Oreochromis niloticus: one gene and its partner. The protein of the gene in region 2 purifies or fractionates together with the protein of the main gene of each other region. This does not show direct contact. Links are inferred from orthologs where the notes say so. Each region holds a gene or a part of one and is shown on either strand. Other genes may lie near its edges.

Region 1 (3,753 bases), on a different chromosome or scaffold from region 2:
AAAATTACAAAAAAACCCCTAAAACAAACAAACAAACCAGCCAACACTGAGGTTTCTCCATGTTAAACAAGGAGGGGGGGGGCATTCATCTTCAGTTCTGTGGGACAAAACAGATGAAAGGAGAAAGAAAAAACAGAAGCATAAGAGGTTGCAATGATGACACTAATGTGGGCATTATGCAACAATTTCTGCAAACAAATAAATGAATAAATAAAATAAATAACTTAGTGTGGTCTAAGGGGTAAACCTCAGAGCAGCAGGAGACCTGAATGAACTAATCAGTTTTGTACATGTATTAATACATAAATACATAAAGACCCACCTGAGGAAAAAAACACAAAAAAAAAAAACACTGGTATAGTTTTACATTAGCACCCCTCATTAATCATGAAAAGATCTGAAAGTGCCTATGAGACAGCCTCGTTTGGGGGTATTTTTTGATTTCTACAATTTAAAAAAATGGAAATAAATAAAATGCATTAAAAAGACGTGACCACCCCCCAGCTTTGACAGTTAACATCGTGCCATAACAATGCTGATTTCATGCCTATTGGACGTCGCCCTGGCCAATACACACACACTTGCTTTCAGACCTGCACGACTCTTCTGCACACTCTCCACCGGCAGGGACAGATGTGTGTTGTAACGTTAGTGTGCAACGCGTGTGCAGCACTGCACACAGAGACCAGCCCCTTCCCGTCCCTGCTCTGAGTTGCTGACGTGTTACACTACTACACTGTTGTTCAGCACTTGTTGTTTACAAGTTTCGACGGAAACTCAACGGACTCACCGTGTCAGACAGCGGTTAAATGTTAAAGATCTTTAAAATGTACAGGCATTTTTTTTTGTTTGTTTGTTTTGCCTTCCACTGTTTCACCTCGATCGCAGTGTATCGACAGAGCTCTCTCTGCCCGAGTGGAAAATTAAAAACCAAAAAAAACCGAAGAACCCCTTTTACTCCCTTATGCTTCTGTCCCCGCTGATTAATGAATGAGACAGACTGACAGCACATTTGAAGGGCGTGCACAAAAGGTATGCAGACTGTCAAAGCTGTGCATCATCCAAATCTTATTTAAGTGAACTGAAGGGGTGTTTAAGCTGAATTAGAATGCCTCCTAATGGTTTATAAGCGGTATCAAATTTTTATTAAATGAATAAACGGATGTTTTTGCAGATTTACTCGTTTTCCAAAGGTACCCCCCAGCTGGGAGATGGAGCGGCCAGTAAACCGCCTACTGTAGTTACACTATGCACAGGCCTTTTTTTTTTTTTCTTTTAAAGAAATCTTTGCTTTTCCTTAATGGAAAAAAAAAAAAGATGAAAAAAAAGGGGAAACTATTGCATAAACAGTCTTTACCTTTTCTCACGTTTTCCTCTTGGGACTGGTCTTTCTGGGCGTGTGCTCTGCAGAGTGACTCCGACTTGGACAACTAACATCTGAGCTGCTGTGTGACCTCTTGCTCGGAACAGGGGAGTCTGCAAAAAGCAAAAAAAAAAAAAAAAAAAATTTTCGTCATTTCTTAAAAAAAAAAATAAAAAAAATATTGGTACAGTGTTGCAGGCAAACCCCACTCTTTAACAGTGCTTTTTTGGGGCCATGATTTTCAAAAATCTATTTTCGGTGCAGATCAATACGCGATCAGCTGCGTTGCTCAGAAACAACTGATGTAAACGGGTTAAACTGGAGCGTATGTAGTACCGTGACACGCGTGTCTTTTCCTCAGCGCTGTACACTGTTCCGTGCACTCCATTTGCCCGTCAGCCCTGTCGGGATCTTCGCTCGGAGGCACCACAACACAACTGTGATTCCCGTTAAGATCCACATTGTTATTCCCAGTGGAGCAGACGCCTTTCTTCGTAAGCGGCTGCCGAGTGTAGAAGCCCGGCAGGTCTCTGCAATCCACTAGTTTCCACTCGAACCTGGAGTTGGCCCTCGGCGTGTCAGTGGCGAAGTCGAAGCCCCACTGGTCGGAGGCGCGCTCTTCCAACTCCCGCAAATGTCCCTTTAAATCCCTCTTTAACTCTTCGTGATCCACCGAGCCGAAGAGGCTCCTGCAGGCTGAGGGTTTCGGGTGTTCAGACTGCCGTGAGTCCGTCCGCTCCAGCGTCGGGCTCCCGTTTGAAAGTCGAACATCTGACATTTTGCTCCAGCGAAACACGCAATTTTTTAAAACAGCCCGGAGCGTCCAGTTTTTCACGAGGAGGAAAAAAACAAACAAACAAAAAAGCAGCACACACACGCGCACACACACACAACACTCAAAAACAACGGTTATCTCCTCTTCGCTGAGAAAGCTCCAAAACAAGCGTAAAACGCGTTATGCCATGCATACGTCGGAACGAAGACGCGAACAGCCGCCGTGTTGTGAAGCCCTGCGTAGTCTCATCAAAACAAAGTGCTCAGGAACTGAAGGCGCTCTGTCAATTTTGTCCCGTAGCGAGAGAAACTGCAGACAACCCTTCTCTTTCGCCCAATATGGCGAAAGGTTGATGTGGGGGTAGGGGCATGATTGACATACTGAGCTATTTAAATTCCCAAAGAGGTCGCTCATTGGTCAGAGTTTTTAAGCCCGCCTACTTTTCTTAAGGTGGACCGGCTAAATTAAGCCGCTCTGATTTCTCTTTTTCCCTTAAAACAAAAAATATCAGCGTGTGAGTGTCATGTATATATGTAACTCTGTAATTAACGTATAATAAATAACTGTGAGTGGGGGAAAAAGGATGTACAAAAAAAAGGTAATTGATAATAAATGTTGTCATGGCTGTGTCAAATAAGATAAATTGTAATCTTTGAAATAAAAAATAGCATAACAAATCACTCCTAACAGGTGCAGAACAATTAAATTAAAACAAAACAAACAAAGCAAAAAAGAAAAAAAAAAAACTGTGCCAATCTGGCTAATGTGTATCTTTATGACATGCCATTTCCACCAATTATCTGCACCTCAGTGGGGAAGGTCAAGGTCAGCACACATCAGACTCTGTCCACACTGCCACCAGAACCCAGAGCAAAAAAAACAACACAAAAAACACACTGCTAAAAAACCACACAGTATCAGAACTCAGCAAATTTAGAATTAAAAAAAAGAAGAAGCCAAAAGTACTCAATGCTAAAGTTTTTTTCCCCGACACCTCAGGAAAAACTTAGCAGGTTTACACAAATCCCTAGCACCATCCAAATCCCATTAGAAATTACCAATAAAAAAAGAAAAATATGGAAAATTTTAATTTTATGTTTTTAACCCTAATCTGGAAAAAAGTAGGCAGGGTGTGCAAAAGTGCAAAGCAGTGATTTCTAAATTTACACCGACTCTCATATTGAGGACACTAGATTAAATGTTTTGGTCATTACCTGCAAGGAGGAGGGATCTGTTAGAAAAAAAACAGTAATCTGCTAAAAATGAGCAGATGTGTTGCTTTCAACACAAGTCAGGTCAACAATAATGTACAAATCCCTGCTTTGAATTTAATTTGAAAATAATGTCCAAACTTTTTTTCTTATTTAAGGCTCTATTTAAAAAGGTGATCTTCAAGCAAAAGTACTGTTTGTTTTTAAATTTATCAAGCTTCTTTTTCCAGCTTCTTTTTCTTTATCGTCCAAGTTTTACACTTTTCCACTGAAGGGGAAAAAAAAAAGAAAAACCCCTAAAAAAACCCCAAACAAAAGAGTGATGTCAAAAAAGATGCTCGCCTCAGGTTCTGATCAAGATGAAACAAATTGGATTTGCTTAAAATAGAAGCAAGCAACCTGCA
Region 2 (3,753 bases):
GGGAACAGTTTGGGTATGGCCCTCTCCTGTTTCAACATGTGCACAAAGTCCATGAGGAGACCCGAGTACTGACATGACCCAAGACTGCAAACCAGGACTTTTCATCCATCATCGGTGTTTGAGCTCATAAATGCGCTCCTGGAAGAAATGGTCAAAAATTCCCATAAACACATTCCTAAACCTTGTGAAATGTTAAGGTTAAGAATGGGATGTCACTCAAATTCATGTGAATGTGAAAGCAGATGAGTAAATACTTCAGGCAATATAGTATATGAGGTTTCATATCCATATTTCATTACCTGAGAAGGAAATAAAATGCTAAAGAAAAAGAGCAACATCTGAATAAAATGTCATGCTCTTCCTTCTCACGCTTCGACCTCAATTACTGAAGGAAAAGTTCAGGATATACTTAACAAGTCACATCAGTATTGCTGTCCCTGGACGGAAGCGAGTTTCACTGACTCATCAACACAATGGCCACCATATTATCTATTGCATAGATTACACACCTGAATTGGGAGAGTTAAGACACTGAATTCAGTCGACTGCAATCTACTCATTTTGCACACTGTAACTTTAAGTATTTGGCTTATGAATTATGTAATATATTATCTGATAAGATGACCTTTATTAGTCCCACAGGTGGGAAATTTGTTTTGTTACAGCTAAAGTGCAAACGTAACCCATCTTAGATTTAAAAGCTTCAAGTTCAAGCAACTATTGCTCCACTGAATTAATTTAATACTTACCTTGACCAACATAGAGTCCATGTACTGGCCCGAGGGGATGGAGTCCAAGTATTTCTTCAGGTCCATGGACAGGAACTCGAAGATGAGGTAGAGACGAGATTCTTGCATTAGGACATCTAGGAGTCTGGATTACGCACACATACATACACACAAATACACAAATTCATACTTTACGTATTTTCTCATAGGATGTGACTGAGGAGCAATTATTTGACCTCTCCAGGACTCTGCACAATACTGAAACTGTTGATCCTGCAGAAACTTTGTCAACGATTGCTACACATGCATTTATATAATGAACTTGATGCATATCTTTAAAACTTCACAATAGTTTCTATTGTTTGACCAACACCATGTCTCTCCATGCTGCATAAAGAGCACTACACAATACAGAGAATATTGACAAGTATTGTACATATAAAAATTCAAACCTCATGTTATAAAAACCAAAAGGATTTTAAGATCAAACAAAGAGAATTTGAAAAGGCCACACTCTTGAACACAGAGAGCTTACCGTACAACATTGGGATGTTTCAGCTCCTGGAGCAGAGAAACCTCTCTGACAGCTGTGCTGGGAACGCCCTCCTCCTCGCTCTCTAGACGGATCTTCTTCATAGCCACAATTTGCCCCGTTGCCTTGTGCTTACCTTTATACACAACCCCATATGTACCTGGGGGAAAGCGCAAGCATGAGCACTGGAATATACTGGCAGCTCCTGTTTATGCTTCCAAATTGCTGGACATACATTACTGGATTAGTTACCAAAGTAATTGTTGTCAAAAGAAAAGTTACACTAGAACAACTTTATAACAATGAGACTGTTGAGCAAACAGAGATTACAAGATGCACACAAGAAGAATTTACCACACACATAATGACACATTTTTGAAGTATCAACATTTGAAGAGTTTCGTGTGAATAATTTAGATGTTAAAACTAACCTTCTCCGATTTTCTCTATTTTCAGGTAGTCTTCCATTATTGCCTGAAAGGAGAAAGAGAAAAAACACGCTGTAATGTAAACAACTTCCGATGACCTGCATTTCATTTCTAGCAGCTTACACGCATATCTATTCATTTGTTTAGTGTCGATGTTAGGTTAGATCAGCCTTTTATTTAAAAGTGAACCATACAACAAGCCTGTTAGTATCTAGCACTAACTTATAGGGAAATCATTAAAAATGGAAAATCATGTCACGTTAATTCAACCATTTACAGTAATGCAGACAGGCCTTTCCTCAGAACATGGAGCAAGCTACTTCAAAATACGAACACGGAAGTTTTAAAACGTTAGTTTTATTGCACTATACAGCTCACAAGTTTTCGGGCGCTCTTTCACTCGTTTTAGTAACTAAGACTAGTTAGATATTAAGCAGTCGTTAAGTTAGCTCTTCTGATTAACGACCAAGAGAGGACCACTAACGTTAGCTTAACAAAGTGTTTAGCCATCAAAGGCACCATTTTTGAATATCATTCTAACCGCTGAGACACGTTGTGTCGGGCGTTCATGGTCCGCATTAGCTAATGAGTTTTTTAAATGTAAAATTTAAATTTCACTTATATTGGCAAGTACAAAAAAATTACCTGTTTGTGCCTCGTTTTTTACAGACACGAACAAACTGCCGCTGGAACGCTCCCGGACTCTTTTGAAATGACTGGAGTGCAGCAGCAGGTTAAAACAGTCCAATGGGCTCACGGAATGTATATTCAAAACAGCCAATAAGAGGAAAGGAAGGCTGTCATGTGGGTAGAGCGGGAGACAACCCGCCGATGTCCTTGGGAGCATTCACTGGTGCTGGGATATTTAAGCCCTACCCATTTGTAAAATCCGGTTGAATTACATACTATATATTCATACAGTTAGTTAAAGTTAGATTAAATACGTATACGTTATGCAGTTTGTAGATTACACAGATTACGATATTAATATTAATTTTGATGTATTAGCAAGTAGTGCATTTATAGTCATAGTCTGACACATTAATTTTGCTAAGTAAAAAAGTGTAATATAGGCTACATATCTCTGTCAGAAATTCATATCTATAACTACCCCTATTTTATGTCAGTGGCCCTGTACTATCCATTAACTATCCAGGAAGTAACAATGCCTGAAGTTGAGAAGTATTGAAAGCAGATATGATGAGGCAGCTGTTGATTTGATTAATAATGCTTGCACCACTTGTTCCCTGGTGATCATTAAAAACAATGTATATTTATGGCATTTCTGCATTGACTTCACTTTTCAGATCCTGCACAATGTATGCATTTTTTATGTTATATTTATATTTTACTGCTGAAAATCACTTTGGTCCCCACTTTAATGCTGTAAGCCACAGCAACTCTAAACACATAACATGGACCAATATTCTGCTTAGATAAATATATTTTTCTATTTTGTGTGATATTAATGAGATATGTGCAACCCATTTTTTACATTTCAGTATTTTTAATGATTGTGTTATTTATCTAATTGTTTTTTTTACATTGATTAGTACCTTATACCAAATACAAATAAAATATATGTTATCTTTTTGTAATAACCAATGTGAAATCCTGTGCTAGACAGATGGAACAGTGTGCTCACCTCAGTCTCATATGAATATCAACATCATGTCTTTTTAACACAGTTACACTTTTTTCTCTTTTTCTTTTCACACCTGTGTTTGTCGATCACAATACACTCAAAAAATAACTATTTGAATGAACATAAAAAAATAAGGGAAAAGGATTTCCACATGATTAAGTTGCTTTAGTTAGTTGCCTTTAGTTGTTCTGCCCCGAGACTTTGCACTTCCACCAGATCTCCGGACCACAAACTCTCACCACTTTTAAATCACGTCTCAAAACCATCTATTCAGAATTGCATACACCCGATTCCGTATTAGTCCATTTTTACCTTGCTCAGCTTTTATACTTTCATGCTTGATTTTTTTTTCTTATTTACCTTAATGCTAAATTTTATTTTGCCGTTTTATTATATTGTATTGTTGCTATTGTTCTTGTG

What was found. The genes of interacting proteins can lie anywhere in the genome.
Region 1: the proteins of cdk1 (region 2) and cdkn1bb purify together in Homo sapiens (affinity purification with mass spectrometry; 8 studies listed by BioGRID and IntAct, counting the BioPlex papers as one, with this or other methods). This does not show direct contact. The link is inferred for Oreochromis niloticus from reciprocal best matches to the Homo sapiens genes CDK1 and CDKN1B.

Annotation. Positions count from the first base shown.
Region 1 is NC_031972.2:46,458,039-46,461,791, reverse strand, and holds the start of cdkn1bb (cyclin dependent kinase inhibitor 1Bb), read right to left. Parts: upstream 2,538-3,753; 5' UTR 2,142-2,537; coding exon 1,700-2,141; intron 1,477-1,699; coding exon 1,364-1,476; 3' UTR 1,358-1,363; intron 98-1,357; 3' UTR 1-97. UniProt on the Homo sapiens protein: Important regulator of cell cycle progression. Inhibits the kinase activity of CDK2 bound to cyclin A, but has little inhibitory activity on CDK2 bound to SPDYA. Involved in G1 arrest. Potent inhibitor of cyclin E- and cyclin A-CDK2 complexes.
Region 2 is NC_031978.2:31,832,112-31,835,864, forward strand, and holds the start of cdk1 (cyclin-dependent kinase 1), read right to left. Parts: upstream 2,481-3,753; 5' UTR 2,334-2,480; intron 1,735-2,333; 5' UTR 1,729-1,734; coding exon 1,692-1,728; intron 1,421-1,691; coding exon 1,264-1,420; intron 874-1,263; coding exon 750-873; intron 1-749. UniProt on the Homo sapiens protein: Plays a key role in the control of the eukaryotic cell cycle by modulating the centrosome cycle as well as mitotic onset; promotes G2-M transition via association with multiple interphase cyclins.